Danio rerio: one gene and its partners. The protein of the gene in region 3 interacts with the protein of the main gene of each other region in a pairwise test. Links are inferred from orthologs where the notes say so. Each region holds a gene or a part of one and is shown on either strand. Other genes may lie near its edges.

Region 1 (4,165 bases), about 520 kb from region 3:
GATATGAACATATTCATAAGAAGCACACTGACAACCTTTGACTCTACAGGGCAAGAGGACAGGCCTTTCTTTTGGCAACTCCTCATAGTCTGTGCGATGCTGTTTATACCTGAGAATAAAACAGAAACAACGAAGATTATTTTATGTATGCGTGTGTTCATCAGTGTGATTCTAGTAATACCTGTGTGTACAGAAGCAAGTTGTCTCAGGTCCAATAACTTTGCAATCTATCTGTCCCGGTGTTCCGGAGAATTCAGTTCCCCTGTTCCCCCATTCACAGCGCATGCGCAACTTACGGCTGATTCCATGTACGCAAATCATGACGTCATGAATTCACTTCGCGAACTGAAACAGTTCATGGTTGTTTTGCTGTATTTTCGTAAGCCCAGTGTTTATTTTGTCACAGAGTTTATAAAATTTTGTAATTATTTGCATAGACACACGTGTCTATGGTATTGTTCCTGTTTTTAGCACGCGTTCGCTTGTTTCTTTCAAACAGTTTGCCTTGTCGAAAAAAATAAACCATACTACACTGCACAAATTATAGTGTGTTTTATTTCAGATAAATCACAGTGATACTTGTGTCGTTTTGAAAGACATATTTACGTAGCTTGTCATGTATCTTCAGAAAGTGACTTTACATTAAAAACACAGGAGTACGGATTTTCCCGAAGCAGAGGAAATTGTGTTACCTTCTGAGGATTGGAAAACACAATATACAATGCCTTTTTAACATCAGATTTAAATCTAACAATTTTGTTATACTAAAAAAAAAACATAAGTAGGCGTAAATTAAAAGGATGATACATTAAATTAGTTTACTATTTGAATATTTATATATTTATTATATACATAAACTAGCAAAAAAAGCTAAAATCTTTTAAAACGAACCAACCAAAAATTTGTGCACATTTTCAAGTGTTTAAAGCAAGCTAAGCAATGATATTCTTCATTATAGGCTGTACAATATATCTTATCAGCATTAATATTGCAATGTGCCCATCTGCAGTAGTCACATCTGCAATGTTGAACAGCACAGGAGTTCAGAGTACATGTGATTTGTGGAGTAGCTGCAGATTTTAACCAAAATTAAATAAAAAAAGTATTATTTGCATGTGATTTCAAAAAGTTTAATACATTCAGGCACAAGAAATTATAACTTTTATATCTTAAACAAATATTAATTGTACTTATTTTTTTATATAAAGAAGACTAGTGTTATTTTACATTTGATTATTCAATTTCTGTACTGAATGCTCCAAAAAAAAAAAAAAAAAAAAACACACTGTTTATCTCAGCAGTTTTGTCTTTGCCCTGTTTTTATATGCTTGTAAATTGTTTTATGCATGATTCAACCAGTCCCCTACAAAATCATGCCAATCAATGTAAAATAATGAATTATTTTCTAACAGAGCTATTTAACCAATCTGGTGAAATTGTATTTATATCACAATATATAAGGCAGACCAACGAAATATTGCAATATTAGTTTTATTTTGTTTTTTCAATATCGCACAGCCCTATTCTGCCAACACATGACTGGTGATCAATCACAGGCAATCTGAAAGATCATGCAGGGTAATTACCCACAATTGCCTCATCATTAAAATAATGTTTAACAGCTTTTGTCAATTTAACAAGAACCAAAGGTACAAAAATTGTTAAAAATAAAAAAGTACCCATTTACCCAAGCAGGTGAATGCATATGGTCATTGTGTAGTCCACAAAAATAACATAAATCACTGTAAATACACTTATCTGAACATATAAGAGTTTAGACATAATTATACCATTAAAAAAATGTCACCAGCATCATTGTAGTGCCTTTCAAACCCACAAAAGGTAATATATAGGAGTTAACACTTCTTTGGGCAATGTAAAAAATTCCCATGCCTTTTCAATGGTAACACCCCTTTATAGATAGTAAAAAAGTAAAAAAAAAAAAAAAAAAAATTTGAGCCTATCTTTTATCTGTTTTCTGTGCTGTATCCATAATTGTTGTTTAAAAGCCCTTTCTGCAGATGAAAACTGTTGGAGACAATTATTAGATTAAAAAGACGTCATTGTATTGTTGTTTTGTTTTTTAATCCAGGAAACTTCCATTGCTTACAGAAAATCTATTCTCTTGTGTTTTCATATGCAGATAAGTGACAAATATTTGCATTAACAGTCTATGCAATTTTTAAACATTACAAGCATCATTGTGACTTACCTAAAACAAGAGACACTAATTTTGCAGTGCTATTTTTCTCGACAAGGCTTATTTGAAAGACAATGCTTGTTTGAAAGAAAAACACGCACATCACGCACACATTAACAACAAAACAATTAATGAGTGCATGCAAAAATTACAATTACTAAATATAATAAAAAATGTTTAATGCAACCAACATTAGGCTTGTTAATACAGCAAAACCAACACGATTTTTATTAATTTTTATTTTCAAAACCAACACGAATTGATTCACTAGCGAAGCGAAAGCATGACGTCATTACTGAGAATTAGCGCATGCGCTGTGAAGGGGGGAACAGGGGGAACTGAATTCTCCGGAACACCTGGACGCCAAAACTGACATAAAGGCGGTTCTGTATTCTTCCTGGCACCACTGTCTCTTTGTATTTCTTGTACTCGTCCTCCGAAAACAGCCTTCCTCCATCATCTTCCCCAACAATCCTTTGCAAAGAATAAAGATCGTTGAAAAATAATTACAAAGTCATCTTTAGAAAAAAAAAATTCAGGATTTTTACAAACAAACTCACCTTTTGTATTCTAAATAAGCCTCCACTGAATTGGCTGCGAGTTTGTCGATGTGAATCTTTGCCATTTTACTAACTTATGAGTCTATTTTGCTGTTTTATCTGTTGACATAAACAATTGTTGAAAATGCTGCGGCTTGTTTGGACTTTGCGTCTGTGTTTCTAGGCAACGATCAGTCGTCGCCGTTCTCCTTACGTACTTTAAATTTATATCAAGAACAAAACTCTATAAATACGTGGAAAAACTCGAATTTAGAATACTCACTTCATATTCTGAACGATTTAATTGCGTCCTAGCTAAACTTGAATATACGAACTACATTTCCCATACTGCCTACAAATTTTACGTGAGCGCGTGATAGAAAGTGAGTGATCAGACTCAATCAGAATCGGTTCAAAAACTATTTTACAAACGATTCAGTGATTCTATGTTGCTGTGTTTGTTGTGCTTTGGAACATCAAATATTTTGTGTCCTTAAAATCTTCTAATTAAAACGTAGCCATATAAAATGTCGAAACTCTCTAAATTTCTATACTGCTTCACGTTTTAATATAAATGACGTGAATTGCTACCCCATAAACAATATTTGGTATTAACAGTCAGTTAGTGCATTCAATCTACATCCTCCTTATAACATAACTTTGCTCTTTAAATAACATTATTTTTGATAAACTCGAATAATATATTTAAGTTAATACGCATATTTCAAGATTCTTTATTCGCATTTCGGTCAAATGATGTGTGAACGGATTCTGTTCGTTCAGTGTACTAAAGAACTGTTCAGTTCTGTTCAGTTTAACTCAAAAGAATCAATTTTGGGAATTGGTTCATTCGAAAGATTCGACTCGAAAGAGCAGTTCATTCACAAACCGGACATCCCTAGGGTAACGTGACGTCTCACGCAATAACGTCTTGTTACGCAGGGAAATACTGAAGATTTTTCAGTATAACGTGTGGTTCTCAGTTTCGCTACATTATGCGGCTTCGAATGCTGCTCCAGTATTTATTTAAATGCGCTTTAGATGTAAAACGATTCGTGTCTTAGTTGATACAGAGACGCCTTTCTTGGAGTTATGATCATGTTTGAATATTGTTTTAATATTACAGATTGTCAACGCAAGCTTGCTGTGGTTGCTTTCTGAACGGTCTAAGATGACAACAGTTTTGGAGTCAACTAATCTGTCACCTTGACCAATACATTGAAGGTAAATTCTGTTTTAGCTACATTACTGGAGCGGCTTCATCTGGCTGCTCCAGCTGTTTAATGCTTTTCACACCCGGCCTTGTCTTAAAGCGATAAGCATGTTCAGTAGTTAAACAGTCGATTTCGTTTAGCTGATTAACAGTCTGCAGACTTGGAGTGAAAAACATAAACCGAAACTGAGTACATGCATGGCATGAAGCTAT
Region 2 (4,086 bases), on a different chromosome or scaffold from region 3:
CATCCATTAATCAATCCATTTATCATTCTATCATCCATCCATTAATCAATCAAATGTTCCATCCATCTAACCATCTCATTTGTTCCATCCATCCATCTGTTTGTTATTTGTTCCATCCATTTATTCTATCCATTAATCCATCTATCTGTCATTTATTTCATCCATATATTTGTTCTATCCATTCATCCATCATATGCTCCATCCATCCATCTTTCTATCATTTGTTCCATCCATCCATCCATCCATCCATCATTTGTTCAATCCAACCATCTATTTATCCATCAACCCGTCATTTGTTCCATCCATCCATCATTCTATCCATCCATCCACCCATCCATCCATCCGTTGTTTGTTCCATCCATCCAACCATCTATTTATCCTTCCATCCATCCATCCGTCAATTGTTTCATTCATTCATTCAACCGTCTATTTATCCATCCATCCATCATTTCTTCCATACATCATTGTTCTAAATATCCATCCATCATTTCTTCCATCCATCCATTGTTTTATCCATCCATCTATCCTTCCATCAATGCATCCGTCATTTGTTCCATCCATCCATCATTTGTTCCATCTATCCATCAAGGGACTCGAACCAGCAAGCTTCTTGCTGTGAGGCGATCGTGTTACCCACTGCGCCACCATGACGCAATTTATTATATATTTAAAACAATAAATTGAAGGGCATCCACTGTGTAAAGCAAATGCTGGATAAGCTGGCGGTTCATTCCGCTGTGGCACCCATGATGGAAAAAAAAGGATTACATCGAAGCAAGATGAATGAATGAATTGAAAAATGAAATAAACAAGGGAACTTGGGCTTCGCAAAACTACAAGCTACAGTACTAATCATGGCTATTGATTTTATTTCATTAAAGCTAATGTTTAACAGTGTTATTAAAACAACTAACTGAAACATGGCTGCAACATGATCTAAATACAACAATTATTAAATCAATATCACTAAAATAACTTTCCCACTGGCTGACAGTCAATAAGATACTGATTTATTGTACATATACATCCCTTTTCAGTTAATTTTATAATAGCGCTTAAATGTTTTTACATGTTTTCAATAGTATTTCCTACTTCCTTAACTTGTTGGACACAACTTTTGTGTATTTTAGACTCTCAAACACCTAAAGCACAAGCTTTTAAAGCTAAATAATACACAACATTAAAATACAGTTGAAGTCAGAATTATTAGCCCCCTTTGAATTTTTTTATTTTAATAAATAATGACAGAATTTATGAGTGAACCATCCCTTTAAAGCCAAAACACAGTCTTAAAAACACAATAGAAGATATTTTGAAGAAAGCCAAAAAACTTGTAACTATTGGCTTCCATAGTAGTGAAAACAAATACTATGTAAGTCAATGGTTACCGGTTTCCAACATTCTTTGAAATATCTTTTCTTGCCTTCAACAGATGAAAGAAACTCATAAAGGTCTGAAAAGAGTAAACCGTGAGTGAATAATGACAGAATTTATGAGTGACCTATGCCTTTAAAGCCAAAACACACAGCCTTCAAATGCAATAGAAGATATTTTGAAGCAAAACCTGTAACCATTGACTTCCATAGTAAAATAAAAATACAAATACAATGGAAGTCAATGGTTACAGGTTTTTTAACATTCTTCAAAGTATCTTCTTCTGCCTTCAACAGAAAAATAATCATAAAAGTCTAAAGCAAATAAACAGTTAGGAAATAATGACAGAACTTATGAGTGAACTATCCCTTTAAACCCAAAACACAGCCTTCAAACGCAAAATAAGATATTTTTAAAAGCAAGCAGAAAAACTGTAACCATTGACTTCCACAGTAAAACAAAAATACAAATACAATGAAAATCAATAGTTACCGGTTTTCAACATTCTTTGAAATATCTTTTTTTGTTCTAAGCCAAAAACATGCAACCATTGACTTTCAGAGTGAAGCAAAAATACAAATACAATGGAAGTCAATGGTTACAGGTTTCCAACATTCTTCAAAATATCTTCTTTTGCCTTCAACAGAAAAAAAACTCATAAAAGCCTAAAGCTAGTAAACCGTGAGTAAATAATGACAGAATTAATAAGTGACATATCCCTTTAATCCCAAAATAATGCAGCCTTCGAACGCAAAAGAAGATATTTTTAAAAGCAAGCAGAAAACCTGTAACCATTGACTTCCAGAGTAAAACAAAAATACAAACACGATGGAAATTGTTAACAGTTTCCAAAATTCTTCAAAATATTTTCTTTTGTCGTAAGCCAAAAACCTGTAACCATTGACTTCCATAGTAAAGCAAAAATACAAAAACAATGGAAGCCAATGGTTACCGGTTTCCAACATTCTTTGAAATATCTTCTTTCACCTTCAACAGAGGAAAAAAACTCTTAAAGGTCTGAAACGGTGAATAAAAAATGACCGAATGAACATTTTTGGGTGAACTATCCCTTTAAACCCGAAACACGGTTTCCAACATTCTTTGAAATATCTTCTTTTGCGCTTTACATTTACATTTCTGAGTGAACTATCCCTTTAAAGCCAAAACACGCAGCCTTCTCCATTCACAAACACACGCACATGGAGTGACGTATAAGGACACAAACGCTCCTTGCGGTACTCACAGGCGCTCCGTGGTTTTGGGGATGTTTCGCGGGACGCTTTTAAAGGCAAGTCCATGGCAGTCCACAGTGGATCCGGTGCAGGAGCAGTGAGGAGGACAGGCTCCAGAGCGTCCCGAGAGGAACAGAGACAGCAGCAGAGCCCAAATCCACAGTCCAGAGCTGGGACGCGAGCGCTCGGTGTCCGGCATCTCCAAAAGCCCACAGCGGACACTGCGGGACACACATAAACTGCAGGACAGGAGAGGACGCAGGAGATCTCTGTCCTGTGTGTGTGTGTTTGTGTGCTCTTTGTGCCGTGGTTCCCCTTCTCCAGGGTAAAGCTGTGTGTATGTGTGTAGGAGAGAGAGAGAGAGAGAGAGGGAGGCTGGATCTCCCACACGTGTGCTCTCTCTCTCTCTCATTCACAGAGAGGGAAAATCATCCATCACTACATCTGAACATCACTGATCTGACTCCTCCCCTCAGCACACACACACACACACACACACACACACGCACACACGCACACACAGAGAGAGGGGACACACACACAGAGAAAGAAAAGCACACACACAGAGAACACACATGCAGATACACATACACACTCATCTACTGTATACACACACAGAGACAAATACACACAACTCACACACACACACACACACACACACACATGCATACAGACAAACCACAAACACTCACAGAAAGAGGAACAAACACACACTTTCAAATCACTCACACACACACACACACACACACACAGACACACACACACACACACAGACACACAGAAAGAAATACACACAACTCACTCACACATACACACACACACAGAAACAAATACACACAACTCACTCACACACACACACACACACACAGACATACAGAAACAAATACACACAACTCACTCACACATACACACACACACACACACACACACACACACAGACACACAGAAACAAATACACACAACTCACTCACACATACACACACACACACACAGACATACAGAAACAAATACACGCAACTCACTCACACATACACACACACACACACACACACACACACACACACACACAGAAACAAATACACACAACTCACTCACACACACACACACACACACACACACATGCATACAGAAACACCATAAACACTCACAGAAAGAGGAACAAACACACACTTTCAAATCACTCACTCTCACACACACACACACACACACACACACACATACACAGAGACAAATGCACACAACTCACACACACCACACACATTCACAGAAAGAGAAACACACACAGACACACACTCACATATACACACACAGAAACAAATACACACTAACAACTCACTCACACACACACACACACACACAGGAAGAGAAAAACACACAGAGACACAAAGACACTTACAACTTACTCACACACACATGCACACAGACACAACACACACACTCAGAGGAAGAGTAAAAAACACACACACACACACTCACAAAT
Region 3 (3,280 bases):
CATTAGAACCATCAAAAGTAATACAGTATTTGAATAAATTGTACTTATAAGATACATTTTAATTATCACATGATTTCACCCGTATCTTGATCTTTTTCTAACGCATTTCTAAATTAAAGGAAACTTTAATTCCGACTGATAAAACTCAGCATCACCGGAGAACAACTTCAGACAATTGCGTATGCTGCAAAACTCACAACACAAGAATTAACAACACTTTGCATCGTCCAGAGAATTTGTCAATTACAGACACTATTTCCCGAAAGATTTAACAGATTCACTAGTAATGCATCCCCTAAATATATTGCACTATTTCCTTCGGTTCTTGAGGTAGACATTTTGACAAGTGGTTTACAAGTTCAAACTAAGACGCGCGTAAAAGTGCAGCATTTGTTATTACTGTGCACAAAAATGCACAAGCCACTTCTTTCTATCCAGGTGCTTGACAAAGTGCCCAAGACAATTAACAGTTATTTCACATTAACATAAATAGTGCACAGATAAACAATGAGTGATCAAAATGGTCGAGTTAGAAACGGTTGGTCGCTAAAACACTCTTCCACTTATGTTAAAACATGATGTACAAATAACCATAAGACAAGTCACAAACAATTTTGCATTATTGTTTACAATTTGAAAGAACAAATGTGAAAGCTGTTTAATTAGAGGAGTATGCCTCAACAGTTGGTGAAGGAGAGGGCGTGGATGGTGCAGAGGGCGACTTTTCAGATGCATCCTCTGTTTTTTCGAGACCATCTTTCTGTTCGGACAAAGATTTCGGCAAAAGACCTTCCTTTTCGCGCTTCTTTTGTTTCATACGGCGATTTTGAAACCATATCTTCACCTGAGTCTCATTCAATTGGAGAGAAGCCGCGATCTCCACGCGCCTTGCGCGAGTCAAGTACTTATTGAAATGAAACTCCTTTTCAAGCTCTGTCAGCTGTTTTGTCGAAAAATTGGTGCGTACAGTGTTTGGCTGCCCACCAAATCCATACTCCCCAGCTTTTCCTTAAGAGAGAGAATGAAAAGAAGAATAAATGAATGTGTGTATGCATACTAGGCTATATTGTTATGTCAAGTCCCATATCTTAGGTTTCTTCAGATGTTTATGTAACCAGTGTTGGACATGCAATATTAAGTCAGGACTTGTATTCCGTATCGGGAGAAAAAATAATTACGACTTGTAAAATTTAAGTCACTCACCTGTTTTTGGCGGGTTGCGTTTAACCTTCATCCAGTCAAATGTCTGTCCCGTGGGCACGCCATCTGATAGAGGTGAACAACAAGCATCATGATGAGGCACATGCAGAGGGGAAAGCGGATTTGAGCAGCCCGCCACAAACGTAAGGTTTGCCTGATCCGAACTATTACCATATGTGGCTGAGCCGTACTGGAACTGGCCATGGAGGTGAACGTTTCCGCTACTGTAACCATGACGATGATGACGGTGCTGCACAACAGTGGAAGAAATATTTCCAGAGTAAACTAACGGGCCACACTGGGGAAAGCTCACAGACGATTCCACGTCCTGATTTAGGGCATAGTGATTGTATCCAGTGCAAAAACTTTGAGTTCCATAACTTGGATGGGCGCTGTAGGTAATTGACAAAGTCCCGGGGGACTGGTACGAGCCGGCCTGTTGTGGCTGAGAGTTAATTACATCTTGTGACGATATATTGGACATGAACCGTTCATCTCCACTGCAGCTATTTAACCTAACAGCACACGACGATTGGAATGTTGAAAGTCCGTGATCACCGTGGAACGCCCTGACTGAGCACGAGCCCCCGCTACCTCCATCTCCACCACCACTTATGGACGAAAAATCTAAGAATGTGCTCATTGTGTCATCTTCTTGGGCGTCTCAGCTCGTGGTTGCCACACTGACAGAACTTTGGGCCCGGAACTGATTAACGTCGCACCATTCACCCTGGGTTGAGCCGAGGCACCCTTCTGCCTCCTTCAATCAGTCGTGGATTGGAGGTGTTCGGGCGCTAGTGATATGAATGACCAGTGACAGTCACGTGGGCTGGGTCAGCCAGTGATCAGTTGTGCTGTCTCATCTTGATCTTAAGTGGCCTTGCACTGACAGGTTGTCGTTAAAGACCAGGCTTATGCAAATGCCGACCTCTTGTCCATCAACGTTACGTAGGCCCACCTTTACTTCTGCTGAAAGGATAGATTCGCTGGCAGATACGCTAAGAGGGACGTTGTCTCACAGACAGCGTCCCGGCAGCATCAGCTTCTCGGTGTGTGGATTTTTTTTAAAGAAATGCTTCAGGTAAGATGATCTCAAAACCACAAAGAAATTATGTAAAGTTAGTATCTTTTTCTGGTTCACAATTCGGGTAGCAATATCCTATCAGCTATAGGCTCTAGTGTATCGGCTTTCGTCAACTTAGTAAGTGTATAAAAATGATAAACTGACTACCACTCATCGTATTGTTATTTTTTCGGTGTAGCCAGCACAGTTATATTTGTTGTTTTTTAATACGTTAGGCTTAGCTACTTGATAAAAACATTGGCTGTAGCCCACTGTATATTTATTACTGCTATAAGCTATTTAGCCTATGTCTATGTATGCTAACTGTCAACATTAAGCAGCAAGGAACTAAGGACTTGGAACTTACTTGGAACTAAGAACTTACATGTTGAAATAAATACATTAGCGGGATTTCTGTTTTTGCTGAATGCTATTTTGTGATTAGTATTCACAGACTGATCAATAATCACAGGGAAGACGATGTATTTTATCCACAATCCTATGTGGAGCAGAGGAGACACGCGCCCCCTCTGGAGGAAATTGGACATTTTTATACCTTTTTTCTTTTTTCAAAATGGCGCTTTACACAAGCTTACTACGGCCTAGTATTTCTTATGCCACTATTTTTTTTACAGCAACAAGCCTGACAAATAAGGCAAGAAAAAATAACAGCATAAATATAAAGTGTAATGTACTTAAATGAAATGGAGTCATAGTTTATAAAAACTGTAGAACCACTTAGTGGCCAAATGTTCACTCTGTTAGATGTGGGGAAAAATATCTAAAAATAAAAACTATTGTAGTTGATTAAATATTTGTTTATTCATACGAAAAAAAGCATTTTAAAACATCTTCAATAAAGACATTATAAACATTTGTAACGTTATTTCAATCAGGACAAAAAGCAAAAAGACTAAGACAAATTGGGGAGGACGTGCAGTGAAATATGTTGTATGAGTGTTTTGTGTAATCCTAATGACGGGGTGTAAAACGCCAATAAAAAGATTAATTATTATT

What was found.
Region 1: the proteins of hoxa1a (region 3) and fam221a interact in binary tests that used the Homo sapiens proteins (3 or more experiments, as listed by UniProt). The link is inferred for Danio rerio from reciprocal best matches to the Homo sapiens genes HOXA1 and FAM221A.
Region 2: the proteins of hoxa1a (region 3) and slit1b interact in binary tests that used the Homo sapiens proteins (3 or more experiments, as listed by UniProt). The link is inferred for Danio rerio from reciprocal best matches to the Homo sapiens genes HOXA1 and SLIT1.

The regions. Positions count from the first base shown.
Region 1 is NC_133194.1:22,559,576-22,563,740, forward strand, and holds the start of fam221a (protein FAM221A), read right to left. Parts: upstream 2,901-4,165; 5' UTR 2,826-2,900; coding exon 2,761-2,825; intron 2,675-2,760; coding exon 2,560-2,674; coding exon of another isoform or gene 2,559-2,559; intron 241-2,558; coding exon 182-240; intron 110-181; coding exon 1-109.
Region 2 is NC_133197.1:36,949,764-36,953,849, forward strand, and holds the start of slit1b (slit homolog 1b), read right to left. Parts: upstream 2,929-4,086; 5' UTR 2,806-2,928; coding exon 2,618-2,805; intron 1-2,617. UniProt on the Homo sapiens protein: Thought to act as molecular guidance cue in cellular migration, and function appears to be mediated by interaction with roundabout homolog receptors.
Region 3 is NC_133194.1:22,044,366-22,047,645, reverse strand, and holds hoxa1a (homeobox protein Hox-A1a), read right to left. Parts: upstream 1,940-3,280; 5' UTR 1,844-1,939; coding exon 1,204-1,843; intron 1,009-1,203; coding exon 659-1,008; 3' UTR 637-658; downstream 1-636. UniProt on the Homo sapiens protein: Sequence-specific transcription factor. Regulates multiple developmental processes including brainstem, inner and outer ear, abducens nerve and cardiovascular development and morphogenesis as well as cognition and behavior.